Linked DNA regions of Macaca fascicularis. The protein of the gene in region 7 interacts with the protein of the main gene of each other region in a pairwise test. Links are inferred from orthologs where the notes say so. Each region holds a gene or a part of one and is shown on either strand. Other genes may lie near its edges. The genes, in order: GNPDA2, SPATA2, FBF1, TCHP, PPP1R18, TRIM23 and TRIM27.

Region 1 (3,901 bases), on a different chromosome or scaffold from region 7:
TTGAGAATCATACGCTAAGGTTAAAATGACTTGGAACAACCTTATAGGTGTTACAGACTACTTGTGATTTGCTTATAGGAGAAAAACTTCCTTTGATTTATTTTCTAACTTTTATTTCTCTTAACAAAAAAAGTTACTCCCCTTTTCATGAAGAGTTGTATTCCTTGTCTGTTAAGAATTAGACCTAATTTCAAAAATTTACTGTAACCTCAGTGGCACTTTTAAAATGTATTTGTATGTTACGCAATCTCAAGAGCATCTGTTTACATTTGAAAAATAAAAGTGCATATTCAGTCCGTAAAAAATGTTAAGTGTGCCCCTCCATTAGTGAACACTTTAATAACTTAGTCTTTCCAGGAACAGGTTGTCCACATCATGAAAACCATTGTGTATCTCATAGGAGTACATGGAGAAAAGCCAGACAAAAATGAAAGAAGAGTTACTATTAAATAACAAATAAGGAACTCAGGGCATGGCATTCTGAGAGGCTGTTTTTTTTTTGTTGTTGTTGTTGTTGGGGCATCTCACTCTAGGTACCCTCACTATGCCCTAAAATCTTATGTTACGGGATAGTATATAGTAGAAAATAGATATGAAACATGGGGAAGCAAAAGGGGAAAAATGAACATTGACATCTATAGAACTCCCACACAGTGCATGAATATTAATGTTAATGTGCAGAGACAAATTTCATGTTTAACGAACATGCTACAGTGACTTGGAATTTTAACTTTATTTAATCATCTTGTCAGTGAAGAGAGTTAGCATATATAATTCTTCTTACCAAGGAATCTTCATGTTCCTTTGTATTGAGAATTTTTTTCTACTTTGTCACCCAGTTTTTTTTTTTTTTTTTTTTTTCTTTTATGTCTTCTTTCAGACAAGACCTTGAGCAAGTAAGTGGCTGTGGAATTTAAAGTAAAATGAATTGGGGGCATATTAAAATTACTAGAGTTGAAAGGAAGATTACTAGGTTTAATGTTTATAAATATTTTTCACAGAAGTCTGTCAATTTTAGTTTGCATTTGGGTACTACTTTCTGAATTATAAGTGGTCTTAAAAACCCTTTTCATTTGGAAACTTAAATACATTTTGAATTTAATGAGAGAACGTGATTTTTGAACTACATAAAAATAAAATATTCCCGCTTCCAGCATTAAGGTAATTGTTATGTTCAAGATGGATGTTTTACATATGCAGTCAATTCCACACTTAACAGAAAGTCATCATAGGCTATGAATTAAGATCAGGGAAAAATTTATTTCATACCAGGAGGCAAGAATCAACTGCAACTAGGTCAGAGCAGGGAGTCCTGTGTTATACTAGAACTGTAGTGGTGTCTAATCAAACAGGCATTTGCCCTCAACCCATAACCCCAGTAGCTTTTTGGAATTGCAGATGTGTTTCCTGCATTCTAAGGGAACACTAGAATGCCTGTGTTTTCAGTAGAGGTTAGGAATTGATTGGGCTCCTTGGAAAAAGAAAGCACAATTTTTATAATGATTTCTTTTGAAAAAATGAGTTAAGAAATTTTTAAGATTTTTAATATTTTGGACCACAACATAGCTGGAGCTGTAACAACTTCAAAGTTAAGGACCACGTCTGTTTTTTCCTCTTCCTATTTGCTTTGTATTCTATAGGATACTTAACATGGTATCTTTCATACAGTAAATGTTTAATAAGTGATGCTTTCTGAAGAAAGGATTTTAACAGTACTTCTGAAAAGAATCTGTTAATAGAGTGTATTATTGTCATTTTATGACCTTTCTGCTGAAAATCTTTAGAAACCAAACATAATTTTGCAAGTCCAGGCACCAATTGTTTTAAAATTAAGACAGTAGGAGTATACATGTTCTTGTCTGTGATTGGGACAACTTGTAAGCCTATAATTGAAATTTTCTTGTTAGACTTCAGTTTTATAAGTTAAACATTTAAATACCTGTTTTGACTAACATTGCAAGCTTTGACCACATTGTTAAAAGTAACAGCTGAAACTAAGTGCTTGTTTGCATGCTAAACTAGGCTCTGTTTGGCTCTGTTTAAACATGTATTATGTACTAGGCATTGCTCTAAGTGGTTTACATGTATTAACTCATTTAATCCTCACAAAAGCCCTCTGAAGGGAGGTGCAAACTGAAGAGCCAAATAGGAAATTCAAAGGTCTCATTTATTAATGGCATTTTATGAGTGTCATAGCATTTATTTAAACATAGAGTTGTCATTGGTAATAGAAAGTTAAACAGAAACCCAACTCATAAATCTGAAAATGATCCATTAATATATAGTATTGTCTGAAGCTTGCCAGCTGCTGGGAACATGGGAAGGCATGGTATTTGTTTTCAATAAACCCTTTTCTTTGTCAGGTTCACCAATTTATTTCCCTTTCCCCTATAAACATATTCCCTTTGTTTTTGCCCTTGATTTAATAAACATAAAAAGATAACATTTAGATCCATTCACAAGAAATTGTATGTGTAATATTTTGATGGAAAGATCTCTTTGGGGAGTGTAATGTGGCAGAAAGTAGCCATTTTGTAAAGAGTAAAAAAGGTAATCTCTTGGGAAGTGTAATATTTATCACTTGGACTTTTTTCCTTTTAGTTTTGATTATGAAGATGCAGGCTACCAGACTGCAGAACTTGTGAAAATGGATATTCTACTGAATGGAAATACTGTAGAGGAGCTAGTAACTGTTGTACACAAGTAAGTTGAATAGAAACTAATCGTGGAATGTGAAAATACTCACTTTTGATATGTTTTTCACTTATTTTTGAGCAGCTGCATTTAAAAAACTTTTAAAGGTAATTAAAATAGAGTTCACCCTACGTACTTTGCTTTCTCTTCTTTTTCCACACTTCTCTCTGGACTGCTAAAAATAGAACAGAGCTATAATAGTCAAAAAGAATAGTGTAATAGAAATGTTTCCCCTTACCACACACACACACACAAAAGTTTAAAAAATTTTATGATGATGGATTTAGAATTGGGAACAAGTTGTTTTGTTTTGTTTTGTTTTTTTAGATGGGAGTCTCATTCTGTCACCAGGCTGGAGTGCAGTGGCGCAATTTCTGTTCACTGCAATCTCTGCCTCCCGGGTTCAAACGATTCTCCTGTCTCAGCCTCCTGAGTAGCTGAAACTACAAGCGCTTGCCACCATGCCCAGCTAATTTTTGTATTTTTAGTAGAGACGAGGTTTCACCATATTGGCCAGGATGGCCTTGATCTCTTGACCTCTGATCTGCCTGCCTCAGCCTCCCAAAGTGCTGGAATTACAGGCGTAAGCCACCGCACCCTTTTATATTTGTAAAAAAATTATAAAAAGGAAAAAACCCACGTGTTCAAGAAACAGCAGATTGGTTAAAATGAATTACAAAGCACCCATATTGTTATTTTCAGCCATTAAAACTTGTGGAGTAGTATTTAGTGACAAAAATGTCTATTAAATAAGAGGGTAGAATATATCATAAACACTGATCATAACAAAAATATGCAAAAAAATGACTAGAAAGATATATGTTTAAAATAAACATTCCAAAATGTTTACCGTTTTCAGTGGCTAAGGAAAGAGAATCAAGAACGGTTTCTATTCTCTAATGTATTTCTAAATTTCCTGTAATCATACATTGCTTTCTTAGAGAAGTTGTTCATGATTCAGAGAGTAAGAGATATTTATGATAAGTAAGTTCCATTTGAACCTCCTTTAGAGATCACCTTTACACTGATTATGCAACTGGCCTAGAAAAATACTTGAAATATTCTTATTTAGGATATATAAACAGTTGTATTTTTCTGTCTCAGAGACAAAGCACACTCAATTGGCAAAGCCATATGTGAACGGCTGAAGGATTCTCTTCCTAGGCAACTGTTTGAGATAGCAATTCAAGCTGCTATTGGAAGTAAA
Region 2 (4,281 bases), on a different chromosome or scaffold from region 7:
ACACATGCATTTACCATTCTTGACTTAGAGAAGCTGCAATCACGCCTCTGGCCCCAGGGCTTGTTTTCTGGTAGCCTGAGAACCATTCAAACACAGAGACATTAAGTTTCTGAATACTGCTGTAATTTTTTTCCAAGGAAGTCAGCCTTGAACTCAAAGAGACTGATTTTTTACAAAGTCAGCCAGTCGCAAGCTCGGCTCAGCGTATGCTGCTCTATAATCGCACCACAGTCCACACCCTTGTTTGTTGCTGAAAAACAATAAATAAAGCAAAGGGATCCAAACAGCCCAGCTGATGTTCAAAATCTGAACAACAAGGACAGGAAGTCCAATATATCTAAAACAAATCTCCAAACAACCTGGGTAGGTGAGGGAAAAGGCGGAAGAAAGTAAAAGCTAAAAGATAATTAAGGGCAAGACATGCCTGGATTATTATTATTATTATTAGGTGGGTGTGGTGACATGCACCTATAGTCTTAGCTACTTGGGAGTCTGAGGTGGGGGGATCCACTGAGCCCAGGAGTTTGAGGCTGCAGTGAGCTATGATGGCACCACTGCACTCCAGCCTGGGTGACAGAGCAAGATTCTGTCTCAATCAGTCAGTAAGGAAAGGAAAGAAAGAGACTAACAATTACTGAGGTCCTACTATGTGCTAAGTATTGGGCTTCCCACTTTACCTACATCATCCCATTTAATCCTCACAACTCTATAAGGAAAACAGGCTCTCCCATTAAAACAACCTGTCCAACAGAGTTTGAAAGGATCAGAGCTGGAATCTGAACTCTTGTTGGCAGGCCCTGATGCCTGGTGCTTTCTCCAATTTATCTCACTCATTTATTGTTACATCAGTACCATTTACCAAGGGATTACTGTGTGGCAGCTCTCTGCTAACTGCTCTATGAAAAACAATGAAATCCATAGGATAGATCCAAGGTTAAAGAGGAAACTGAGGCTCGGAGAGGCCAACTCACTTACCCTAAGTCATAAGGCTAGGAAGAAGTGGCTCTGAGCTCTGAACCTAGGTCTAATGCCAAAACTCTGACTCTTGCAAAGCCATCCTGCTGCATCTGCTGGACAGCTCTACTCGAAAGTGTCTGGCTAAGTTAGAATGCCTTATGGCGGCGCGAGCAGAGTTGAGTTACAAAAATTCCTGTAGTAGCAAAATTCCCATCTTCCCACACCGAATGGGGCTAGGAGAGCTAATCTCTATATGATGTAAGCTCAAGGGCCGAGGAAAGAGGCTGGCCTGAGACATCGGCCAGTGATGAAGCAGCTGACATCATCCCTGCTGAAAACATTTTCTGAGAATACAAGATGCCTTGTAGCTGGTCATAGCTGGTGTTTTTTCTGAGCACAGAGCCAGCAATTCATTCCCAGCACTCTGCAAGAACAACAAAATACGCTCTCTGCAAAAACATCGTGGTTACAGGAGACCGAGACAGCCCAACGACAGAAGCTGTTAATTTCTCCAAGCAACCCAAGGATTGGAACGCCAAGCCGTGCCAGTCTGGTGGGAGAAAAAAAAAAAAAAAAACCCAAAAGACAAAAAAACAGCACTGTGAATATCCTGAACATAGAGGCAGGCAGGTGCCCAGAGTCAACAGCTCCAGTCAGCACCTCCTGAACCCACAATCTAGGCACCCTCTTGAAAAGCAAGTCAATGGAAAGAGAGATATTGCAGTCAGGGAGGCAGTGGCTTATTTAGTTATTTTCTAAACATCTAAGAGGAAAGCTGTATCTGTTTAGACTCCCACTGCATGGAAGTGAAGTGATTCCGAGTAACAAAGCATTCGCTTGGCTTTACCTCAGCTGGCCCATTCAAGCAGAAATGTTCCCCAAGCAGTATTTGAAGGCGCCCCCTCTCTGCACAGGCAGAGCTATTTTGGTCTGTGCACTGCCCCTGTCCACAGGTTTACACATCCCTGGTCTAGCTCCATCAGCCTCCAAACAGCAGACGAGGAAGTCAGTTCAACCCCCTCCACCTCCCCACCCACACCAATGCACTCGTTCCAAGCAAGAGGCTCCGAGACACATCCAAGGCACCTTCCACGGGCTGTGAAACACCAGAAGGTCCCCACACTCCTACTAGATTCCAAAGAAATTCACACAGAGTCCTTCCAAACCTCTGAAAATAACCTCAGCGGTGCCGAAAGAAGCTTCCCTAGTGGCAGCTGCCTCTGAAGGAAGCTGTTTCCCTCCCTGCAAGGGACAGAAGCTGGCGGCTGCTAAGTCCCAGCTCGGTCATTCCTACAGCCTCGGGGGGCCACGTCAGTTGTGAAAAACAGCCCAGTCTCAAATTCTGACCCTCCCCACGGGTTCGTGAATTGAATGAAGTAACAGGAACTATCACTTACTGGACGCCTGCTGTATGCCAGGGGCCCTGCATGATCTCATTCCATCTCTACTCCAGCCCTAGCAACCAGGTTCAATCACACTTAAACAGGCAACTGAGGCTCTTAAGATGAAGTGACTTATCCAAGGTCACACAGTGAGTACAAACCCAGGTGTGCCGCCAGAGTCTGAACTGGGAACCCCTGCGCAGTAACCGCCTCGTGGCGAAATCGGGGTGTCCTTCTGTTTGGCCAGTCGCCGAAGAGAGGGTGCTCCTCTTGAGCGGCCCTGAGCCACCCTCGGTGGGTTCCAGGAGCTTACAAGGCAGCTCCCAGGAGAATGGGGATCCTGAGGATAGGCTGGGGGTCCCGGGAGCGCCGAAACAACGGGCCCACCTGTAGTCCTGCCTGACGTGAGGGGACCCCGCTCACGGGCCAGCCGAGCCCTGCCGCTGTCTGGCGCCCCCTCCACCTGGGGAAGCCCCGGAGACAGTTTCCGCTCGCGGCCGCCCGTCACTCACCCTGACACTGCCGCCGAGGGCTGCCCGGCCGAGGGAAGCAAGCGGGAGGCGCGGCTGCCGCCGGAGCCGGGCCCCACTGGGCTCTAGCCGCTCCGGCCGGCTGCAGGGGTACTGAGACCAGTACCCGCGGGCCAGCAGCGACCCGGAAACACTCGGCCCGGAAGTGAAGTCGCCAGGAGGCGGGTCCGAAGAGAGGGTGGACCACGGCTGCGCGCTGGCTCCGGGAAGCGGTCGATGCCCGCGGCCGACGGAGACTACAAGCCAGAGGCCGAGAACAAAGCGGAAGGCCGAAGAACGAGGACGAAAGCGGCGGAACGGCAGTTTGGAGCCTAACGAGCCATCGTCGCGTCTGGAGCTAGGACCCGGAAGTAAACAGGCCGGACGTGACGGAAGCCACTCGGTTTAGGGATGGTGGCTGGCCGGGTTGTCATGGAAACCGCTACGGAGCCTGGAGCTGCATTCATGACTCCGCACAAGCAAGCAGGGGCTAACGGTCGGATCCCTCGCCCCCATTGTACGAACAGAAATACTGAGGCTCAAAGAGAGCCAGTGAGACGCTGAAATCACGCGTGATTGGAATCCAGCCTTGCTAGGGCTGTCGGTGTTACGGGCTGTGGGCGACGGTTAAGAGCGTGGGTCCCATTTTTAGCTTTGCCACTTACTAGCTGTGTGACCTTGGACAAGTTACCTAACCTCTCTGAGTCTCAGCTTTATAACCTGTAAAATTAATAAAGCCAGGCGTGGTGGCACGCGACTGTAGTCCCAGCTACTCGTGAGGCTGAGGCGGGAGGATCGCTTGATCCAAGGTGTTCGAGACCAACCTGGGCAACATAGCAAGGCCATGTCTCTTAAAAAAAAAAAAAAAAAAAAAAAAAAAAAAAAAAAAGCCGGGCACGGCGGCTCACGCCTATAATCCCAACACTTTCAGATAAATTATATATATAAAATATATATAAATATAAAATATATATATAAAATCTGACATCCCCACCAGACCCTGAGCTTCTTATTCATCTGTTTCCCCCCAAGCTCCGCACATGTCTGATGAGGAGGCACACAATAGATGTTCATTGATTGTAGGATTCTCACTCTGAGTCTCGGTGACCCCAGCTAAAACCGGTGGGCCTTGTGTGATGAATCAGTGACTTTAATACTGGGAAACGTTTGGAGAACCAGCAATCTGCTGTCCAAACAGTAGCATTACTGTGTTTACCTGTAATTGCCTGAGCACCGCTCAAGGTCCCTGTGTTCTTTATCAGCTCATGTTTAAGCTCCTCTCTTCATTATCTGCAACGTGATAATGTTCACAGGAATTTCATCTGAGACAAACTGTCCCACCTTAAGTCTGCCTTTACAACAACTCAACACTCTGGTTTGGTAGCTCTTACAATATTGCATTTTCACGTGGGACTGCTAAAAAAAAAAAAAGT
Region 3 (3,767 bases), on a different chromosome or scaffold from region 7:
CACCGGACCTCCCTGCATCTGATCTGTGGCTGCAGATGGGTCCAAGGCCTTGGAGAGTCACAGTCACTGTGGCTGAGCAGTCCCCAGTGTACCTCCCCTTGCAGGTCTGGTCAGGAGCATGTCTCCCTCCACCACCCCAGAACAGCTTCCTCCCCTGCATGGTCTCCGGCTTCCCAGACAAATGGCTGAGCCCCAGCAGAGTCTCTGCTATGACAAAAGCTGACGCTAGCTTTTCCTGTCAGGCCTGAAGCCCACATGTTGACACTAATCTGGTTCCCACAAGCTGTCCCCTACCCACCATCTCCCAGGGACACACTCCTGGGGGCCACATCTCCCAGGCCTACATGTCACAGGTGACTGCCACACATGGGAAACAGAGGCAGAGGTGTGGTGCGAGGATGGCAGGGGTGGAGGAGGCTTTCTTGACAGAACAGGACCCTGGGCCCTGCTTTCTGACTGCAGTGTCCCAGCTTCCCGGCCTGGCTACCTCCTCAAACTCCTCACTGATGTAGGCAAATTAACACCCTGGGAGCAGCGAGGCTAGAGATTCAGGCAAGTTCTGGTGGGGGTTGCCGGGGGAGCTGGCTGACGTCACATTTGGTATGTTTGACATACTTTCCTGGCAGGTCATCAGGTCAAACTGTTGGTGTTGCCTCTGGGCATGGAGAATTGCTCCCTAGGCCCTGAGCTAGACCTGTCTGCCCACACCCCTACCTGGATGGGCATGGAAGGCTTTGTGGGTTCCTGGGTGCTCGGGAAACAGGTGGCAGGCTCTGAAACATCAATAGCAGAGAAATGAGCAGGAGGCCCAGGGCTCTGGGCCTGTGAGTGTCCAGGAGGGACTGGTGTCACTCATGTCCCAGGGACCCCAAAGGAAGCTCAAAGCACCTCTTCCTCACCCAGGGTTAAACTCCCAAATGAAGCAGAAAACAAAAAACAAACCAGTGGCTGAGAGGTCTCCAGGGGCTGGTCGCCTCTTTGGGGAACCTGTAGGGAGTGCTGAGGCGGCATGGTTCCGAGTCACAGGGGACCTGAGGACACAGGGACGGGGCAGGGTGAGCAGCCTCTGCGTGGGACACGGGGACGGGGCAGGGTGAGCAGCCTCTGCGTGGGACACGGGGACGGGGCAGGGTGAGCAGCCTCTGCGTGGGACACGGGGACGGGGCAGGGTGGGCAGCCTCTGCGTGGGACACGGGGACGGGGCAGGGTGGGCAGCCTCTGCGTGGGACACGGGGACGGGGCAGGGTGGGCAGCCTCTGTGTGGGGCATGGGGACAGGGCAGGGTGGGCAACCTCTGTGTGGGGCATGGGGATGGGGCAGCGTGAGCAGTCTCTGTGTCCCTCTCTAAGGACAGAGGCCTGTGCTGCCCACCACGATCTCACTCCCACTCAGCCCGCAGCCCAGGCCTACCCTGAGTCACCAGGCCTGACACACGGTCTTTCTTGTGCGGCGGTTCCGGAGCTCTCTCCAGTAGCTGCTTGCTCAAGTCCTTGTGTGCTGGTGACAGGTTGGCTGAGGAAAGGCAGCATTCAAGGTGAAGGTGACAGAAGGCCCAGGTCAGGCTGGATGAAGATGGGTCCCAGGACGGGCTTCACACGTGAAGCTCGTGGCCGCCCTTCCTCCTGCTCCCATCATCCCATCTTGGGGCATTCTCCTCCCACATCTGAGCTCCTGGGATTTCTGGGCATCTCTTCCCTTCAAATACCCCCTTCCTGCCGCAGTGTCCACAGTGGCGCAGTGAATGGACACGGTCCAAGCAGTGACAATGGAAATGTTATAGACACTGGCGTCAAGTTCAAGTTCAGAGCCCTGTTCCAGCCCACTTAACTTGGCTCAGCTCTAGATTAAGGTTCTGCTTAGTCTCCCAAATCTGGCTGGCTCCCTTTCCCATTATTCCCACCTCTTTCTCGGCTCACAGGTCAGTGAAGAGACAGGCTCTCATCTGTTTTGGCCTGAGCTTTCCCCTAGGCCTCAGGTCAAAGTCACAACTGCCCTCATCAACCCCAGGACTGGGTGACGTCCCTGGGCTGCCACAAATTTCCCAGTTCACTACCCTGGGCTCTGGCCACAGCACATCTCACCACTTCCTCTGGACTCCCCCAGCCTGCCGTCCCCTTGTGCCTTCCTGCCCTCAGAGGTCACTTGCTATCCTGCCCCACGGATAGGGGCTTGCCAGGAGGTGCCTCTCGGCCACTGTGTCTCTTCTAACACTCTCAAAGAGCACAGGGACATTTCGTCTCACACACGCCATATTCACTTCAGTGGAGTCGGCAGAAGCACCAGTTGTTTGGATGCTGGGGCTTCCAGCCTGAGGGCGCTGTGACAGGGCAGCGGTGTGTCTGCCACCTCAGGTACCCTCTGTCTTCTGCCCGATCTAGTTAGCACCTGTCCCCATGGCAGTCAGGGCATGAATGTCAACAGCTCTCCTTCTTGGGTGTGTCCCTGGGGCAAGCCCGGGAGCCAGAGGCTCTCTCTGCAGTGCCCAAAAGGCAGAGTAGCAAAGCCAAGAAACGGCCTCTGTGCCCACAGTGCCCTGCCTTGTTCCCCAACTCCCGACTGAGGCTGCAACAGGTGGAGGGGCAAAGGGGCTCCTCAAGTCTGCAGCCAGTCCTCCCCCTACTAGCCACAGCAGCCCAAGCCCATACCTGCCAGAAGGGGGATGGCCCGCTGTCCCCGCCAAACTCAGGCCCTCAGAGGCCCCAGCACGCTGCTCTCTGGCCAGGCCTTGGGACTTCTTCCGAGACAGGGCATGGCTCAGCCAGTCCTCCTCTTCCTCCTCCTTGGAGGCCCGCAGCTTGGAAGCCTGGCTGGCTTTGGCAGGGGACCCTGCCCCTTCGGTTGGTGGCTTTGCCCTGGAGGGGGGCAGCCCAGCTGGTGTGGAGTGCTGGCTTGCAGGAGGAGGCACTGAGGGCGTGGCAGGCACCAAGCTTTCCCGACGGGCCTCTCTGGTGGGTGAGGCAGGGAGCAGGTCCAAGTCCTCGTCCTTGAGGCCCAGCCAGTCAGCTCCTCCCTTCCTGGGCTGGATGGGGCTGGAAGCAGCTGGAGGGCTCTGTTTGGAGCCTGGTTCTCCCTTGGGGTCTGGGCCACTGTCTGCTAAGAACCTACTTCAAGACAGAAAGGAGGGTGTCAGGCAGGGGAAGCAGCCAGTCCCATTGGCCCCCTAGCAGCCTGGGGCTGGGCAGCACGATGCCCTGGGACCCTGCACGCTCAGCTGAGGCCCAGTAAGCAGTGGCTCCTGGACTGGCTCATGTGGCAGGCCGCGTGCTATCTGTAGAACAACGAAGTACAGAGATCTTGACTTCCATCACCTGAACCAGGGACAGTTCTCCCCGCAGAGCAGGAACAGAATGAAATGACAGCCGTGGGCACACAGGTCTAAAGAAAAATCAGGGCCGGGCGCGGTGGCTCAAGCCTGTAATCCCAGCACTTTGGGAGGCCGAGACGGGCGGATCACGAGGTCAGGAGATCGAGACCATCCTGGCGAACACGGTGAAACCCTGTCTCTACTAAAAAAATACAAAAAAAAAAAACTAGCCGGGCGAGGCAGCGGGCGCCTGTAGTCCCAGCTACTCGGGAGGCTGAGGCAGGAGAATGGCATAAACCCGGGGGGCGGAGCTTGCAGTGAGCTGAGATCCGGCCACTGCACTCCAGCCTGGGCGACAGAGCCAGACTCCGTCTCAAAAAAAAAAAAAAAAAAAAAAAAAATCAGGCCGAGCATGGTGGCTCATGCCTGTAATCCCAGAGCTTTGGGAGGCCAAGGTGGGCAG
Region 4 (4,533 bases), on a different chromosome or scaffold from region 7:
GAAGTTACCAGTTTCCTCTGCTCTTCTCTGGCTGATTTCAGCTTCCCATGCTGCTCCCGGATTCTTCTTTCGTGCAAGTTCATGCTCAACCTCAGCTCCTCCAGTTCTCTGGCCAGGAGGTCCTGCTCCTCCCGCATGAGCTGCCTGAGCTTCTCCCGTCGGGCCTCCAGACTCTTCCTCTTCTCTTCCTTCATCTTCTCACGCTGATAGGCGTGCATGCTGGGTGAAAGGGGGCCTGCCTGAATCAATCATGCTACAGCCACAGGGAGCGTGCTCTGCTCTGCTGTGTGGGTAAAAGAGGCTGACGCAGTAGATGTGTCATGATGACACAGGAATGTGTCCCCAGCTAAAGTGAAGATAGCAGGTCACAGAATAGTATGCCTAAAAGAAAATCTTGTTTTTGCAAAAAGAAAATGTATAACTGTATAAATAATGTATATGTTATCCATCACATAAATCCTACAGTATAGGTCTGCTGTAGCCCTACTTGACTGATGAGGAAACCAAAGCTCATACATTCAGCAAGAGACACGGTCAGGATTTCCATCTAGGTCTATCTGACTTCAAAGCCTATGCTTTCAGCCTCCATGTGTTTACATGTATTTCTATAAAAGCAGTTTGTGTCTGTGTGTGTGTGTGTGTGTGTTTATTTAAGCACAAATACCAATGAGTAAAAGCATGGAAGGATACCTGCGAGACTGTTAACTGTGGCTCTCTATGGGGATATGGGGTTACAAGCAGGCTTCCAAATTCTATCATATTCTTCTGCATCATTTTATCTTTTTCAATGCCAATGTATGGCTGCATAGATGATCTTTTTTTCCACTTCCAGCTGGAAAAACATCACCACGCAGGGAATTCATGCTGCCTGGCAAATCCTACTCTCCCTAAATCCTTAAGGCCTCATCCCCTGACTGGCAAGTAGCCCCCACCTCCATCCAATCGGCAGTTACCGCAAAATTACCTCCGCTGGTAGGAGGTTTTAGAGCTCCATTCTGCCTGTTTGGAGCTACAGATGTCAGACATCCTGAAGTAACGGCTGTTCTGCTCCCATTGCTGCCGAAGCCGGGCCTCCTGCTCTCGCTGTCGTGCTAACTGCTGATTCAGGTGCTGCTGGCTGTACCAGTAGGACGGCAGCGTGGGGAGCGCCATCTGAGAACAGGAATGGGAGGAAAGTGAGCCACTGTAAACCCCGGGAACCCTCACCAGCTTGGCCTCATCCCTTTAACAAGTGGTCACCACCCCTTGGCTGCACAGTGAAATTACCGGGTGGAACTTAAATCCCAGCTCCTTGGGAGGCTGAGGCAGGAGAATCGCTTGAACCCAGGAGGTGGAAGTTGCAGTGAGCCAAGATCGTGCCACTGCACTCCAGCCTAGGCGACAGTGCAAGACTTCGTCTCAAAACAAAACAAAACAATAAACCTTAGCCAGATGCGGTGGCTCACGCATGTAATCCCAACAGTTTGGGTGGCTGAGGCAGGAGGATCACTTGAGGCCAGGAGTTGGAGACCAGCCACATCATGAGACCTCATCTCAACAAAAATCAAAAATTAGCCAGGAGTGGTGGCACGCCTGTAATCCCAGCTACTCAGGAGGCTGAGACAAGAGGACTGCTTGAGCCCAGGATGTCAAGGCTGCAGCGAGCCACGATAGCACCACTGCACTTAGCCTGGGCGACAGTGAGACTCTGTCTCAAAAAAATCCTAAAACATCAAAAATTCTGGACTGCATGCACCCAGCTGTGGGCCAGCCACCACCAGGGACACAACAGACAGACACAGGGATTGTCCTAAGATTGCTAGAGTAGGCACATCGGGGGCATTCACGCTCTACTTAAACAGAGACAATAATGTAACGAACACATGTACGTGCCAAGCACTCAATACATACGACTTTTTTTCATTCTTACAATCACCTCGCTATTTGGCAGGTGAGGAACCTTAAGTTCGAAGAGGTGAAGTGATTTGCTCAGGACCACGGAGCCAGGAAGCAAAGGAAATAAACAAGCTGGGTTCCTAATTCATGTCCGTCTGAGACCAAAGCCCACGGTTCTCTACACTGCGAGGGGCTGCCTGTTGGGACCAACCTGCCCTGGCTCTGGCAGCCCCTTGGGAGGGACCTCGCCTGATATAACACTCGGAAGTATTTTGGGCTACCATGGAGGACAGACCTTTCACCCTGCAGATGAAGAAGCTGAGAGCTAGAGAGAGGAATTGCCTGAGCAATGTAGGGATACAGCTGGAGCCCTGAAAGCAGAGAGCAGTCTCACTCCAGGGACCAATTCCCCTGTCCCAAAAGCTGTCCTCGAGTGCAGGGTCGATGCAGTGCCTGGGTAGGAACGCCTGTCGAATAAGCGAAAAAGCCTGGTCCACGCCAAGAATCTCATACTCGAGGTCCTCCAAGTTTGGGGGCAAACACTCTGCATCTATGGTCCAAATGTAGCCGGCGGGCTGCTAACGTGTGACCTCGGTCTCGAGACCGTGGCAAGCTTCACATACTTTTTTCCCCGCCCCGTAAAACCGCCAGTGGATCAACTTTTGCATCAAGAGTCAAAAGTTTAAGATTCCGGTCCCAGATTGGCCACCCACAAGCTGGTCTACTCCCCGAACGCTTCGCATCCCTCTCTCGACCTGAACATGCACGTGCAACAAAGGGGGTCACGGCGCGTCGGGAGCAGAGTGAGGACCCAGGAGGCGCCCTGAGCTCGCGTCCGTGGACTGACGCCCCGGTTCCCGCCCGCGCGGGCCGCCTGCGGGGCCTGCCCTAACGCCGGATCCGGCCGAGTCCAACCCCTCGACTCACATTTCTCTGAGTCTTGGAGTTTCCGAAGAGTCCCCCGGCCCGAGTTCCCGCAGGCACAAAGTGGGCGGGCCAGTCCCCCGGTGTAATTCCCAGACGAGCTACAGCAACGCCGGCAGTTTCCGCCCTGGTTGCGCCAGCAACGAGCCCGACGACGGAGCGTCGCAAGGGCCAAGCCTCCTTCAGCGCGAAGGGAGACTGTGTTTTTTTTTTCTCTGGTGCCCCCTCGTGGCCGGCGGGAGATAAACAGCAAACGTCGCTACTCCTTGAACTAGGGAAGGACGGAGGCAAAGCATCTGTCCGTGCACTGCGCGTATTTGAGGATAGTGGTTACCATCACCTGAAGGTGAAGGCGGAAACCAGGGGGAGGAGAATATAAGCCAGTGATCCTCAAACCTGGCTGCGCATGGGAATCACCAGATACCAGCCTGGGCAACATAGAGGGACCCCTGTCTCTAAAAAAATTTTTATTTATTTTTTATTTATTTATTTATTTTTTTTTGAGACGGAGTCTCGCTCTATCACCCAGGCTGGAGTGCAGTGGCCGGATCTCAGCTCACTGCAAGCTCCGCCTCCCGGGTTTACGCCATTCTCCTGCCTCAGCCTCCCGAGTAGCTGGGACTACAGGCGCCTGCCACCCTGCCCGGCTAGTTTTTTGTATTTTTTTAGTAGAGACGGGGTTTCACCGTGTTCGCCAGGATGGTCTCGATCTCCTGACCTTGTGATCCGCCCGTCTCGGCCTCCCAAAGTGCTGGGATTACAGGCTTGAGCCACCGCGCCCGGCCTAAAAATTTTTAAACTTAATCCGGCATGGTGGGACTTGTGGTGCCAGCTACTCGGGAGACTGAGGTGGAAGGATCATTTAAGCCCAGGAGATCAAGGCTGCTGTGAGCCATGACTGTGCCACTGCACTCCAGCCTCGGTGACAGAGCCAGACACTGTCTCAAAAAAAAAAAAGAAAAGAAATCCAGATACCTTAAAAAAATCCAGATGCCCAAACGAAACCCCAAATCCCATCTGAGAGTACCAGTGTTTTCCAAAATTCCCCAGGTGTGTTCAATGTACAACTTGGGCAGAGACCTGCTGGCATAAGTAGATGGAAGTTATTGGTCATTTTTTTTTTTTTTTTTTTTTTTTTTTTTTTGAGACGGAGTCTCGCTCTGTCGCCAGGTTGGAATGCAGTGGCACAATCTCGGCTCACTGCAACCTCTGCCTCACGGGTTCAAGCGATTACCCTGCCTCAGCCTCTCGAGTAGCTGGGACTACAGGCGCCCGCCACCACACCCGGCTAATTTTTTGTATTTTAGTAGAGACGGGGTTTCACCATATTGGCCAGGCTGGTCTTGATCTCCTGACCTCATGATCCACCTGCCTCAGGCTCCCAAAGTGCTAAGATTACAGGAGTAAGCCACCGCACCCAGTCAATAACTTTATATTATAGTATTATATTGGTGATGAGTTCAAGAGTGTTCATTCTATTAGTATGTTTTATAACTCATGTGTGCTACAAGCATTACATACCAACTATTCCATTAAAAAGAAAATGAAGAAAAATACTTACTTGTTTGTTCTCTTTTCTTTCATTTTCCTATTCTTTCGTTTCTTCTTCATTTCTCCATTCTGTATTCATCTCTGGTTTTCCTGGATGCAGCATCATGGCCTCAGCTGGGTTCAGTGGCTCACGCCTGTAATCCCAACACTTTGAGAGGCCAAGGAGGGTGGATTACCTGAGGT
Region 5 (4,397 bases), about 2.3 Mb from region 7:
CTATGCTGAGCTCATGGGCCTCAAACAGGTGAGGCTCTGAGATCCCTACCTACGACCTCTGACCCGTTTTAGAACTACTCTTTCCCTTTCAAGGGTTTCCCTCCTCCCATGCTCTTCTACTGTCTCCTTGATTCTCCCTCATGACCCTTCCCTCAGAAGGACAGCAACCATGGGCCTCCTGGGCCTGGGGAAGGTACATGGATCATAAGTCAGGATCAGGGATCCAAGTCTCAGAAGAGGGGTTCCTGGGCCTGAGCTCTAGAAGGCTGGTGCCTGGAAGAGGAGGAAAGAAGCGCCCAAGCTGAGAAAAGGGCTTGACTCAATTTCTAAACTCTTCTCCCTCTTAGGTATACTACCATGTGCTGGGGCTGGGCGAGCCTCTGGCCCTGAAGTCTCCCCGGGCTCTCAGACTTTTCTCTCACCTGCGCCACCCAGTGTGTGTGGAGCTGCTGACAGTGCTGTGGGTGGTGCCTACCCTGGGCATGGACCGTCTCCTCCTTGCTCTCCTCCTTACCCTCTACCTGGGCCTGGCTCATGGGCTTGATCAGCAAGACCTCCGCTACCTCCGGGCCCAACTACAAAGAAAACTCCACCTGCTCTCTCGGCCCCAGGATGGGGAGGCAGAGTGAGGAGCTCACTCTGGTTACAAGCGCTGTTCTTCCTCTCCCCCTGAATTCTAAATCCTTAACATCCAGGCCATGGCTGCTTCACGCCAGAGGCCCAAATTCATGGACTGAAGGAGCTACCCCTTCCACTACTTGAGAGTTTATTCTCTGGGTCCAGCTCCACACCCTAAATTCTGAGTTTCAGCCACTGAACTCCAAGGTCCACTTCTCACTAGCAAGGAAGAGCGGGGTATGGAACTCATCTGTCCCCTCACTGTTTAGGGCATGACACTTTCGCCCTCAACAGCCTCCTGAGAAGGAAAGGATCTGCCCTGACCATTCCCCTGGCACTGTTACTTGCCTCTGTGCCTCAGGCGTCCCCTTCTCCACCTCCGGCTTCCACTCCAAGAAGCTGGACCAGGGTCTGCAAGTTCAATGGTCATAGCTGTCCCTCTAGGCCCCACACCTTGCCTCACCACTCCTGGTCCTAGTCTCTGCACCTCCTTAGGCCCTGCCTCTGTGCTTAGACCCCAACCTAGTCAAGGGTATTCTCCTGCTCTTAACTCGATGACTTGGGGCTCCCTGCTCTCCTGAGGAAGATGCTCTGCAGGAAAATAAAAGTCAGCCTGATTTTTCTACATATGGCATGCAGTCTGTCAGTGTCTCCCAAGCTGCAGGGCTGAGTTTGGAAAAGAAAGCCAGAGGGAGCCTGGGAGCGCCGAACTGGAGTCTGGGCAGCCACCACGCCCTCTGGCAACCGCTGGGCTTCGGCCACCCCCCGCCGACCCGGCCCACTTTGCCAGAGCGGCCGGGTCCCCATTCCCATTCCTTCAAATTCCCTTTTTCCCGGCAGCCGACCCGGAGACCCAAGGGAGACAGGTTGAAGCTAGAAAGAGTCCGGCAGCAGCTCTGGTAGGGGGGCGAGCTTCCAAAACCTCTGGTTTCTGAGCGCCTCTCCTGCCGCCCACTCCACAAGGCCCCCCACAGCCTGGCGGTTGCCCTCGACCCGCAAAAACAAAGGCCTGCAGAGGTTGGACCTCCAGACCCAGATGAGAAGGCAAAAGCATAGGGAGGAGCTGCAGGAGATGGGAAGGGCGGGCCCGGCCCCGAGCAGCTGCCGCTTCCTCCCAAAGTCCCACGAGGGGCCTGAGTCACGGGCCACCGCCCTGGGTCGGCGAGCTGGGGGAAGGGATCTGGACACCTGGGGTGTCCGGGCGGGAAGCTGGTGAGGGCCCCTGGGGACACAGCGGAGGGCCAGGGGTTGGGACAAGAACAGGGTAGTCCCGGAGCGAGTCCCACGCGGGGTGGGAGGGAGCTAGGCCCCGCCCCCTCCTCGGCTCCGCCCTGCGCCCCCATCCCTCTCCTCATTGTCCTTAGACAAAGCGGTCGCCGCCCCCGCCCGGCCCCCTGGTCTCTGTCTCCGTCCCACCTCCTTTGCTGCCTCTTTCCCTCCTCCTCTCCTTCCCTCCTCTCCTTCCCTCCTCCCCTCCCTCTAGTCTCCGGATCTCCCTCGGTCCCTCTCTCCTCCTCTTCCTCTCTCCGGACGCCCGGCTCCTCGGCACCCCCTCCCGCGGGGGTCCTGCGGCGTGTGAGTTGACTGAGGGGCTCAGACTTGGGGAGTGGGTGTCTCCTCGCTCCGGTCCTTGCTCCCATCCCTGGCCCGGATCTTGGCTGTCTCCTCTTTGTGCCGAGATTGTCAGTCTGTGCGTCCAGAGCGGGGTGGAGACTGCCGGCTCTGTCACGGCTCCATGAGAGCGGGGACGGGGCACAGGACTTGCAGGCGCCGGGGAGAAGAGACATGGAGCCGGCCCTCGGCACTCTGGGGTCGCGTGGCGCAGCCGGTGGGGGAGGCAGGCGGTGGTGACGGGACAGGGTGGGGGTGGACGCCAGGGTTCTGGGAACGCGCTGGCAGCCCTGACGCCCGGGTTCCGAAAGTCCCGGGGGTGGGTATTTCCCCCGACCCGCCTCGGGGGCGGAGTGCGGGGCAGAGGGGTGGGGGCTGGGGAGAGGCGTGGCCCGAGCGGTGCTGGAAGGGGAGCCGGGACCTTTGGGGCCCGCGCTGAGACGCGCCGGGTTGCTGCCGCCGCGCTCCTTTCCCCTCTTCCTTGGTTTCCCTTCTCCCCTAGACCTCTTCGCTTTCCGCTCCTCCTTGCCTCCCCAACACCCCCTCAGGTCCCGTTGCCTCCTGGTCCTTCCAGGGATTCCTGGTCCTTCCTTCCCACACTAGTCTCCCTGGGGTATCGCTGAGGCAGTCTGGCCTGCACCCAGATTCCCCTCACCCCAGCCTCATTTCTCTCTTCTCCCTCACACCAACTTTCCTTTTCGCCCTTCTCTCTCTGTCTCACATCCTAGAGACTGTCTTTAATACGCATTAACCCTGACTGCCACATCTGGCTCCTGCCCTCATTGCCTCCAATCTGGACTCTTCCTCTCACATCACCCCCACCACCCCCAACTTGGGCTCACAACTTCTCTTCACTTTTTCCATTTCCCCAGTTCTCTGCCTTCCCTCTTTCCCTCTGTCCTCATCCTTAGCCCCCCTGCCCTGCTTTGTGTCCCACCTCTCCCCCTCCACTTCCTCTCCTCCCACCCTCAGTCTCCCCCCTGGGCCTCTCTGGAGCCTCTCCTTCCTGTTCTCTGCCCCCAGTGCTCCCTACCCTCACCTCAAGGCGACCATGGCCACCATCCCAGACTGGAAGCTACAGCTGCTAGCCAGGCGCCGGCAGGAGGAGGCGTCCGTTCGAGGCCGGGAGAAAGCAGAACGGGAACGCCTGTCCCAGATGCCAGCCTGGAAGCGAGGGCTCCTGGAGCGCCGCCGGGCCAAGCTTGGGCTGTCCCCTGGGGAGCCTAGCCCTGTGCCGGGGACTGCAGAGGCTGGCCCTCCAGACCCAGATGAGTCTTCGGTCCTTCTGGAGGCTATTGGGCCAGTGCACCAGAACCGATTCATCCGGCAGGAGCGGCAGCAGCAGCAGCAGCAGCAACAAAGGAGTGAAGAGCTGCTAGCAGAGAGAAAGCCTGTGCCTCTGGAGGCCCGGGAGCGGAGACCCAGCCCTGGGGAGATGCGGGATCAGAGCCCCAAGGGAAGAGAGTCAAGAGAAGAGAGACTAAGTCCCAGGGAGACCAGAGAGAGGAGACTGGGGATAGGGGGAGCCCAAGAGTCCAGCCTGAGGCCTCTGGAGGCTCGGGACTGGAGGCAAAGCCCAGGAGAGGTGGGAGACAGGAGCTCCCGACTGTCAGAGCCATGGAAATGGAGGCTGAGTCCTGGAGAAACTCCAGAGCGGAGTCTGAGACTAGCAGAGTCTCGAGAGCAAAGCCCCAGGAGAAAAGAGGTGGAAAGTAGACTGAGCCCAGGGGAATCTGCCTACCAGAAGTTGGGCCTGACAGAGGCCCATAAATGGAGACCTGACTCCAGAGAGTCTCAGGAACAGAGTTTGGTACAACTGGAGGCAACAGAGTGGAGGCTGAGGTCAGGAGAAGAAAGACAAGGCTACTCGGAAAAATGTGGCAGAAAAGAAGAGTGGCCAGTTCCAGGGGTGGCTCCGGAAGAGACTACAGAGCTGTCCGAGACCCTGACAAGGGAGGCCCAAGGCAGCAGTTCCACAGGAATGGAGGCAGCAGAGCAGAGGCCTGTGGAAGATGGCGAGAGGGGCATGAAGCCAGCAGAAGGGTGGAAATGGACCCTGAACTCCGGGAAGGCTCGAGAATGGACACCCAGGGACATAGAGGCTCAAACTCAGAAACCAGAACCTTCAGAGTCAGCAGAGAAGCGTCTGGAATCTCCTAGTGTGGAGG
Region 6 (3,767 bases), on a different chromosome or scaffold from region 7:
TTAAAAATATTTAAATCATAGGATAATCGAGTTCACATTGGGCCAAAAATGGAAATTCGGGTCGTTACATTAGGATTGGATGGTGCTGGAAAAACTACTATCTTGTTTAAGTTAAAACAGGATGAATTCATGCAGCCCATTCCAACAATTGGTAAGTATGAATATTGGTTTTTACCTTAAAGAACAGTTAATAGACAAACCCTAGCTTACAGCCGAGTTCTTGGGGTCTTATTTGATACTGATCTGTCATGGTGGTGGGCTCTTTTCTGGCTTTAAGATATCAGCATCTCAGAGAAAAAAAATGTAAGATTGTATGGCTATGGGATTGAAATGTGGATGGGGATAAAAAGAATCAGAGTATTGGTGGGACAGTTGGAAGGAATAGAGGATTGGTGATCCTGGCTGAGGGTGTGGGGTGGGGGGTGGTAGTGGAACAGAGCTTGAAGGTACATGGATCCCAAGGTCCTAAGGACCTTGGTGGAGGTTTAGAGGGCTAGGAGCTGTTACAGGTATACATTCTCCATGTAGGAGTAGGAATGGGGTTGATTAGGCTTCAGTAGATATTGCTGCATATAGATAATTGATAAGTCACAGTTATAAACTGGGGGGTTGTCTGTGTTTGATGTGTCATTCATTGTAAATATAAATATAAAAGTAACTTTTTTTAAAAACAGGTTTTAATGTGGAAACTGTAGAATATAAAAATCTGAAATTCACTATTTGGGATGTAGGTGGAAAACACAAATTAAGACCATTGTGGAAACATTATTACCTCAATACTCAAGGTGAGAGTTAAAAATGACATTTAATTTTTCACATTTTTAGGATGACAGTTTTCAGTGTACTGATTTAACTAGCAAAGCTGATACGTATAAGTCCTTGACTGTATACTTAAGTACCGGTGGCCAGTTTCTTATCTTGTAAAAAATGAAAATAGAAAGATTACGATATGTACTTTTAGTTTATTCCTGATAAACCATTATTACAGAATAAAAGCCATACGTACCTTAGATAGTCAGTTAAGAGTACTCTTGCTTCTCTTAACAGAGAATGTATATTATCAGTATTATATGGGTGTGATTGCTGGTAGTGTCGTGGTATAGAGTTGAATTTATATTGTATGATTCTGCTGAATTCAGTTAAACTCAACATTTATCCCATTATAATCTCACTATAGCCCCACTCCCACATTTCTTTCACAAATAGTTGTTACCTGCAGAAGAATTTACAGTGGCTTGCTTTTGACCAAACTGTATTATATCATATGTATACTCTACATAGGTTTTAGTCACATTTGGGTCTTATTCTACACTTTTGCCTCATAGACCACAACATAGAGCTTACGCTCATGCCACTTATTCTGTATGTTATCCTGCTTTCCACTAAGATGAGAGACTGAACAATTATTTTTACTTTGGGATTTTTGGTATTTAGTATGACCCATAATTAATAGAAAACATGTATTTTGTTTTTGAGACAGAATCTTGCTTTGTTGCCCAGGCAGGAGTACAGTGGCATGACTGCAGTTCACTGCCACCTCTGTCTCCTGGGCTCAAGCAGTCTTCCCACCTTAGCCTCCCAAGTAGCTAGGACTACAGGGGTATGCCACCACATTCAGCTAATTTGTAAATTGTTTTTTTTTGTAGAGACAAGGTCTCACTATATTGCCCAGGGGTCTCAAACTCCTGGGCTCAAGTGATCCTCTCACCTCAGCCTCCCAAAGTGCTGGGATTATAGTTGTGAGCCATTGTGCCCTACAAAAATGAAATTTTGAATATGAGGAATGGTTGAAAGTCTGGGGATAGTTAACTTAGACATAATACTTTAGAGAGATAAAAATGGTGATGGTTTTTGTCTTTTAGTCTTTTATTCAAAGACTAAATGTTACAAAAGTAGTATTCGAAGAACAAGTAGCATCAGTAGGTAGAGGATCATGAGGCCTATTTTGCAATTTGTTATGTAAAAAATGTTATTTGATATACAGACCAATTTGCATTTGATAGAGCAAGTGTTGTAAATCCTTTCATAGATGGGGAAACTAAACCTGAGAAGTTATGTAAACTACTTGAAATCATATCGTTAATTTTTTGTAGGTGCCCCTGCCATACTAGGCAGACTGTGTGAAAATAATGATGGTAGACAAACTCTAACCATAATAATGATGTCATTAAATATTTGGTTCATTTACTGAACTTTAGCAAGTGACTAATTAGTATTTTGGGTTTTTTATTTGTTTGTTTTTTGGGTAGCTGTTGTGTTTGTTGTAGATAGCAGTCATAGAGACAGAATTAGTGAAGCACACAGTGAACTTGCAAAGTTGTTAACAGAAAAAGAACTCCGAGATGCTCTGCTCCTGATTTTTGCTAACAAACAGGTAATGCATTTTTATATTGGAATATTTATTTTAGTAGTTTTGTGCATGTCATAAAGTAACTGGAAATATTTCAGAAGACAGTTCCATAGATATTTATAAAGTTTCTTCTGTGTATTTTGAGTACAATCTATGTGAAAATGCTGTGCTGGGTACCTGGGAGTATACAAAATAGAAATAAGGTAGTTAATGCTCACCAGAAACTCTTGTGTATGCATATGAACCCATAAATGAGATACGAATACAAAGAAAACTGATAAGTAACTTCAGTAACACAGTGTTATGGGAATTAGGAGAGTAGTTCTAAATGTGGCATGTTGTAAGATTGTAAAATGTAGGATTTGAGTTGAAATTATGGATGAGGCTGAGTCAGTATGTGAAAGGAAGAACATCATAGAGAAGATAATAGCATGAATGTTTTTAGTTTAGGGAACATCAAGCAGATCATCATGTCAGGTCCAGGTAGAGGATGAAGAGAATTTAGAATAACAGACAAGGCCATGCTGTAAAGGTCTGACAGGGCTAGACTGAGAAATTTAGGTTTTATTCTGTGAGCAAAGAGGAGTCATCAAAATGTTGGATTAGTGGGTAATAAGATCATATCAGTGTTTTAATACTGTAATTCTGGGGGTAGAATGAATCAGGGCAAAGGACTGGAGACAGGGAGATGCAGTAAGTTGCTTAAATAATTCAAGTGAGCATTAACAAGAGTCTGAATTTGATGAATAGAAAGGCGGAGGCAGATGGAAAAGACTTTGAGGTAGAACTGGTGACCGAATGGGGAGGATGAAGGACTGGGAGTAGCTGAAGATTCCTAGGCCTTGAGCCTTTCTAGGAGGATGAGATGCTTTTAAGTAGAGGTAGGAGAGTAGAAGTGGAGCAGAGGAGATGTCATGGGAGGGGAAGAGTAGGATGAAGAATAAAGAATTTTCCCCTTAATAAAAAAAAGCAAACTATTAAGAACTGGTATATTTAAGACATGCAAATAAGTGAGTGAAATACCATTTTGTGCTCATCAGATAAAGATGAAAGTGTTTTGTAATTCTCAGGCTTATATACACTATTACTATTATTATTATTATTGAGACTGAGTCTTGCTCTGTCACCAGGCTGGAGTGCGGTGGCACAACCTCTGCTCACTGCAGCCTCCCCTTCCTTGGTTCAAGCGATTCTCCTGCCTCAGCCTCCCAAGTAGTTGGGATTACAGGTGCTTGCTACCACGCCCGGCTACTTTTTGTATTTTTAGTAGATTCGGGGTTTCATCGTGGTGGTCAGGCTGGTCTCAAACTCCTGACCTCAAGTGATCTGCCCGCCTCATCCTCCCACTGTTGGTAGGTTATTAAACTGAGACATTTTCTTGGAGGACAATTTGGCAATACTCATCAAAGTCCTTTAC
Region 7 (4,517 bases):
ATGGCCAGGCTGGTCTTCAACTCCTGACCTCAGGTGATCCGCCCACCTCAGCCTCCCAGAGTGCTGGGATTACAGGTGTGAGCCGCCACCCCCCCCCCATGCCCTGCCTTGTTTTTTTTTTTCTTTTCAAAACAAAATTCCCAGTTAGGTGCAGTGGCTCACACCTGTAATCCCAGCACTTTGGAAGGCCAAGGCAGGTGGATCACTTGAGGTCAGGAATTCGAGACCTGCCTGGTCAATATGGTGAAACCCCATCTCTACTAAAAATACAAAAATCAGCTGGGTGTGTTGGTACATGCCTGTAGCCTCAGCTACCTGGGAGGCTGAGGTGGGAGAATCACTTGAAATGTGAGGCAGAGGTTGCAGTGAGTCGAAACCTTGCCATTGCACTCCAGCCTGGGTGACAGAGTGAGACCCTGTCGGAAATAAAAAGAAAAAATTCCCATATACCCCTATCATAAATTAATACATCAGCCACTTGTCGAGGCCTTGAGAGATTGGAGGAAGAGAGCAGAGCAAAAAATTCAGAATTAAGGCATTGTCAAGAAAGGAGAATAACACAAAGAGAAGCAACAGTGGGACTTACACAAATCCACTATTAGCACTTGTCTGAAGAATGGTAACAACGCAAGCTAACTGTATCCAATAATTTTACCCATCTCAGCTTTGCCAAGGATCAACCTTGGTCTACGCAGTTAGCAGGTTAAACTATACTGACAGGTCTGATTTCCAAGGGTTCCAAACTTGGCTCCTCCACGCTTTCCCCAAAAGAAAGGGAATCTCTTAGTTCTCTGGGTGAGTTCCCACTGCCATGTGCAGTTGATCCCCCTCTACCTACAGGTTCTGGGTGACATGCTGGACAAGTCTAAGGGAAGTAACATCAGCTCTACAGAAGAGGGGAGCACCAGCAGAAGCGACTGTGAATTCCAACAACCCTTACCAAGAGTTCAGCTCGTGCCTGTTCCCCTTGGGCCCGACGTCTCTTCTTTAAATCTTTCACTCTTTTTAAATGGTCAAGCTGGTTCTGGATTTGCTCCTGAGAAAAGCAAAACAGATGGGCAGTTCAAAACTAGGTAGACCTTAGCATCAGCATGGTACTTCTAATCACACATGGAGTCCACACACCTGATGCCAAGTATCCAGTTGGCACTTGTTCTCAGGCCACACTGCCACCCACAAGAGAAAGACTCAGGGCGCAGGGGCCAACAAGCCACTCATTTGGCAATTTGTGTCTATCTTAGCAGCCTGTCGCTTCAACCACTCAGCTACCTCGTCAGGATTATTTGTGTCTATCTTAAACAATGAATCATCTACCTGTCCCTGGTAGGATATCGCATGACTTAGCGGAACTGTGACTGGAGTAGGAGGCTTAGAGTTATGTTGTATTGTAGCTCTTCCACACAAGCATACTGTGAAAGTGACTTCTTATTTCCCTCATGTGTGAAATGGGCAAACACCATCTTCCCAACCTACTCAAGAGTTCTCACCAGAGTAAGTGAAAGAATATAGCTGAAAGGTCCATAAATGTTAAGTGATTAATTACACATGAATGTATTCATATTTAAACACGGACATAATTGTGTATGAATTCCTGAAGCCCTCAACATACAGAAAATACACAGTATCATGGACTCCTTGAAGGTCACCTTACAACTGTTTTATATGTAATATTTTGTTTCCACGTTTCTGTTTAGCTGTGCCAGTTCACAGAGGGCTCTGTGCATCACATGATTCCATAATCTTCCTCATAACTGTTATCTCCTGAGTCTCAGAGTGGTTAAATGACTTAAGCAGTGAAGAGCCTGTTCTTTTCTGTGAGTTTCTAGACCAGGACGTATTGCAGGAAAGTGCTGGGGAAATGCTTATAGACCAAGGAATGGGCATCGGTCAGTTAATGTCCGACTGCGTTTTGTCTGACAGCCGACGAGAGTACATGTGTCTCTACAGCTCGTCGATGTGCAAGCGATTTTATGCACTTCTTTTATACTGTCAAAAGCATGTCTCCGTGTACAATGTGTCCGTGAGACAGGAAACATGGGGGCACACAGAGAAAGGAGAGTGGGGGTGGGGAGACTTCTGGCTCCCTCGCCAGCTACAGGTTTTCCTCCAAATCTGAGTGCTGAGGCTCTGGAGCGGACAGAGAGGAAATGACGGCTGTGAACCACACGTCCGGCTCAGCCATTTTCTAGGCGGAAAAAGGGAAGCCCCTTTGGCTCTCTCCTCCCTTTGTCCGACTCGCGTTCCCGCCCTCCCGGATCCGCGCCCTCACCTTGAAGCCCTCCACTGCCTCCTCGAGCGGCAGCACGCTGTGGCCGCGGTGCTCGCGGGAGCGGTCGCACACCACGCAGATGGGCATCTGGTCCTCCTCGCAGTAGAGCTTCAGGGGCTCGCGGTGTTTCTCGCACACGCCCATCTCGCCGCCGGGCCCCGACGGCCGCTCGGTGCGCAGCTGCTTCACCAGCTGGGTCACGTTGGCCAGGTGCCGGTTGGGCCGCATGTGCCTCTGCGGGAAGGTCTCCCGGCACTGCGGGCACGACACGTTAGTCTCTGCCGTGCCCCAGCAGCGGGCGAGGCACGCGCAACAGATGTTATGGCCGCAGTCGAGCATCATGGGCTCTGCGAAGTACTGCAGGCACACGGGGCAGGTGGTCTCCTGCTGCAGGCACTCGGCCACGCTCCCGGAGGCCATGGCGCGGGCCTGCGGGGGCTCACGGGCATGGGCCCCGGCGCCGAGCTCTGCACGGAGCCCAACTCTCCGGCGCTCTCTCCCGTTCGCTGTTCCTGGGAGGCACCGGGCGGACGGAGGGCGGTGCCTCCCGGGCCCGTATCCCAGACGCGCCCGCGCACCGAAGGCTCAGAGTGGCCGGGCCGATCCCTGCGCCTGTGCCCCCTGAGCGAGTGCGGGAATACAGCCGGCTCACAGAGACTCGCGGCCACGTTACTGGGGCAGGAACGGGTAGCCAAGGGTCAGGATCCCAGGGCCAGGCGCGCAAAGCGCGCAAGACAACGTGGCCGCGTCCGAGCGGATCCCGGCGGCCGCGTAGACCCCACCCCGGCGCGAGCGGAAGAGGCGGCTCGGGGGGCGGGGCTTGGCCCGCGCTTATAGTGTGTGACAAGATTTCGTGGCCTCGGGGCCCGGGCTGCTTTCTCTAGAAAGGCCTGGGAGGCTCCGCCACTCTCCCTTGGGCGGGTCGCGCCGAAGCTCTAGCCTAGGGGACTGGTCACAAAAGCAGATGGTGCCACACGCTCCGGGCCTACAATCTTCCGCGACTGCCGGGCCCAGGCCCCTAGTGTTTAGTTGGGTTTCTTCTTGGTGCCCAGGTCTCAGCCCCTGCTAAAGATGGCTTTGGCCGCGCGCAGTGGCTCACGCCTGTAATCCCAGCATTTGGGAGGCCGAGGCGGGTGGATCACGAGGTCAGGAGATCGAGACTATCCTGGCCAACATGGTAAAACCGCATCTCTACTAAAAATAGAAAAATTAGCCGGGCGTGGTGGCAGGCGCCTGTAGTCCCAGCTACTTAGGAGGCTGAGGCAGCAGAATCGCTTGAACCCTGGAGGCGGAGGTTGCAGTGACCCGAGATCGCCACTGCACTCCAGCCTGGGCGACAGAGCGAGACTCCGTCTTGAAAAAAAAAGAAAAGAAGAAAGAAAGCTGGCTTTATATAGGTGCTGGGGAGCGCAGACATCTGGCTTCCCCAAGAGGCTGGAGGATGAGGAGGGTCACCGTCTGAGCCCACCTGATAGGTGAGGCCTTTTATTAAACAGACCCATTTGTAGGCACTTGCAGTTTTGTTTAGAAAAAGAAAGGTTTAATTATCAGATGGTAACATTTCTGTGTGGCAATAACAAGCCCAGCTCTGCTACCTCTCACTTGTGCCCAAGCAAGTTGGTTTACCATTCATTTACCTCAGTTTCTCCTCGTGTGAAATGGGGATGATAACTGTACCGCCGTAAAGAAGTAGATTTCGTTACATCTTTTACTTTTTGAACCATAAGGTTGTTTATCCATTAAAATAGTAACAAAATGCCCATTACATAGGGTTGTTGTATTGAGGAGCAACTAAAAATTGCTTGCTCCTTTCTGAAGTATAGAGAGACTAAGAATCCTACAGTGACCCAGGGTCTTGGAGTCCCACAATACTCGTTGTCTTATCATGCAGTAGACCTCCAGCATTTTTAAGTTGCTTTCTTATCCCTTGCTTGATGTCTCCTGCTTTTCTTTGAGATTTTCTCAATATTGTCCTGCTATCTGAGCAATACGGGCTTCTGCTTCCAGACCTTACTTGATTTTTATTTTATTTTTTCAAAGTGAAAGTACGTTTATTAAGAAAGTAAAGGAATAAAGAATGGCTACTCCATAGGCAAAGCAGCCCACATCATCACTTTAGAGTTCCCCTCTGGTCCTCTTCCCCATGGGACAAGAAGTCTGAGGGACTAAGTGCACTTGCCAACCCCAAACCCACATCCACCTTGCAACCATACTCTGAGTACCCAGTCGTTCAAATTCCAGTACCAAA

Evidence for each region.
Region 1: the proteins of TRIM27 (region 7) and GNPDA2 interact in binary tests that used the Homo sapiens proteins (3 or more experiments, as listed by UniProt). The link is inferred for Macaca fascicularis from reciprocal best matches to the Homo sapiens genes TRIM27 and GNPDA2.
Region 2: the proteins of TRIM27 (region 7) and SPATA2 interact in binary tests that used the Homo sapiens proteins (3 or more experiments, as listed by UniProt). The two-hybrid records come from large-scale screens. The link is inferred for Macaca fascicularis from reciprocal best matches to the Homo sapiens genes TRIM27 and SPATA2.
Region 3: the proteins of TRIM27 (region 7) and FBF1 interact in binary tests that used the Homo sapiens proteins (3 or more experiments, as listed by UniProt). The two-hybrid records come from large-scale screens. The link is inferred for Macaca fascicularis from reciprocal best matches to the Homo sapiens genes TRIM27 and FBF1.
Region 4: the proteins of TRIM27 (region 7) and TCHP interact in binary tests that used the Homo sapiens proteins (3 or more experiments, as listed by UniProt). The two-hybrid records come from large-scale screens. The link is inferred for Macaca fascicularis from reciprocal best matches to the Homo sapiens genes TRIM27 and TCHP.
Region 5: the proteins of TRIM27 (region 7) and PPP1R18 interact in binary tests that used the Homo sapiens proteins (3 or more experiments, as listed by UniProt). The two-hybrid records come from large-scale screens. The link is inferred for Macaca fascicularis from reciprocal best matches to the Homo sapiens genes TRIM27 and PPP1R18.
Region 6: the proteins of TRIM27 (region 7) and TRIM23 interact in a two-hybrid assay, tested with the Homo sapiens proteins (2 studies listed by BioGRID and IntAct). The link is inferred for Macaca fascicularis from reciprocal best matches to the Homo sapiens genes TRIM27 and TRIM23.

The regions. Positions count from the first base shown.
Region 1 is NC_088379.1:44,152,394-44,156,294, forward strand, and holds the end of GNPDA2 (glucosamine-6-phosphate deaminase 2), read right to left. Parts: coding exon of another isoform or gene 3,799-3,901; intron 2,704-3,798; coding exon of another isoform or gene 2,602-2,703; intron 905-2,601; coding exon 795-904; 3' UTR 713-794; downstream 1-712. Other genes in the region: GUF1 (translation factor GUF1, mitochondrial), read left to right, coding at 2,602-2,703, 3,799-3,901. UniProt on the Homo sapiens protein: Catalyzes the reversible conversion of alpha-D-glucosamine 6-phosphate (GlcN-6P) into beta-D-fructose 6-phosphate (Fru-6P) and ammonium ion, a regulatory reaction step in de novo uridine diphosphate-N-acetyl-alpha-D-glucosamine (UDP-GlcNAc) biosynthesis via hexosamine pathway.
Region 2 is NC_088384.1:105,995,813-106,000,093, forward strand, and holds the start of SPATA2 (spermatogenesis-associated protein 2), read right to left. Parts: upstream 3,004-4,281; 5' UTR 2,355-3,003; intron 1-2,354.
Region 3 is NC_088390.1:82,331,934-82,335,700, forward strand, and holds part of FBF1 (fas-binding factor 1), read right to left. Parts: intron 3,105-3,767; coding exon 2,646-3,104; intron 1,513-2,645; coding exon 1,411-1,512; intron 1,032-1,410; coding exon 943-1,031; intron 774-942; coding exon 715-773; intron 1-714. UniProt on the Homo sapiens protein: Keratin-binding protein required for epithelial cell polarization. Involved in apical junction complex (AJC) assembly via its interaction with PARD3. Required for ciliogenesis.
Region 4 is NC_088385.1:116,771,876-116,776,408, reverse strand, and holds the start of TCHP (trichoplein keratin filament-binding protein), read right to left. Parts: upstream 2,956-4,533; 5' UTR 2,803-2,955; intron 2,343-2,802; 5' UTR 2,171-2,342; intron 1,153-2,170; coding exon 965-1,152; intron 220-964; coding exon 9-219; intron 1-8. UniProt on the Homo sapiens protein: Tumor suppressor which has the ability to inhibit cell growth and be pro-apoptotic during cell stress. Inhibits cell growth in bladder and prostate cancer cells by a down-regulation of HSPB1 by inhibiting its phosphorylation.
Region 5 is NC_088378.1:141,967,180-141,971,576, forward strand, and holds the start of PPP1R18 (phostensin), read left to right. Parts: upstream 1-1,429; 5' UTR 1,430-1,654; coding exon 1,655-1,830; intron 1,831-2,049; exon of another isoform or gene 2,050-2,446; intron 2,447-3,252; coding exon 3,253-4,397. Other genes in the region: NRM (nurim), read left to right, coding at 1-28, 348-629.
Region 6 is NC_088380.1:71,290,836-71,294,602, reverse strand, and holds part of TRIM23 (E3 ubiquitin-protein ligase TRIM23), read left to right. Parts: intron 1-21; coding exon 22-151; intron 152-674; coding exon 675-785; intron 786-2,249; coding exon 2,250-2,374; intron 2,375-3,767.
Region 7 is NC_088378.1:144,252,537-144,257,053, reverse strand, and holds the start of TRIM27 (zinc finger protein RFP), read right to left. Parts: upstream 3,041-4,517; 5' UTR 2,690-3,040; coding exon 2,270-2,689; intron 1,037-2,269; coding exon 941-1,036; intron 1-940. UniProt on the Homo sapiens protein: E3 ubiquitin-protein ligase that mediates ubiquitination of various substrates and thereby plays a role in diffent processes including proliferation, innate immunity, apoptosis, immune response or autophagy.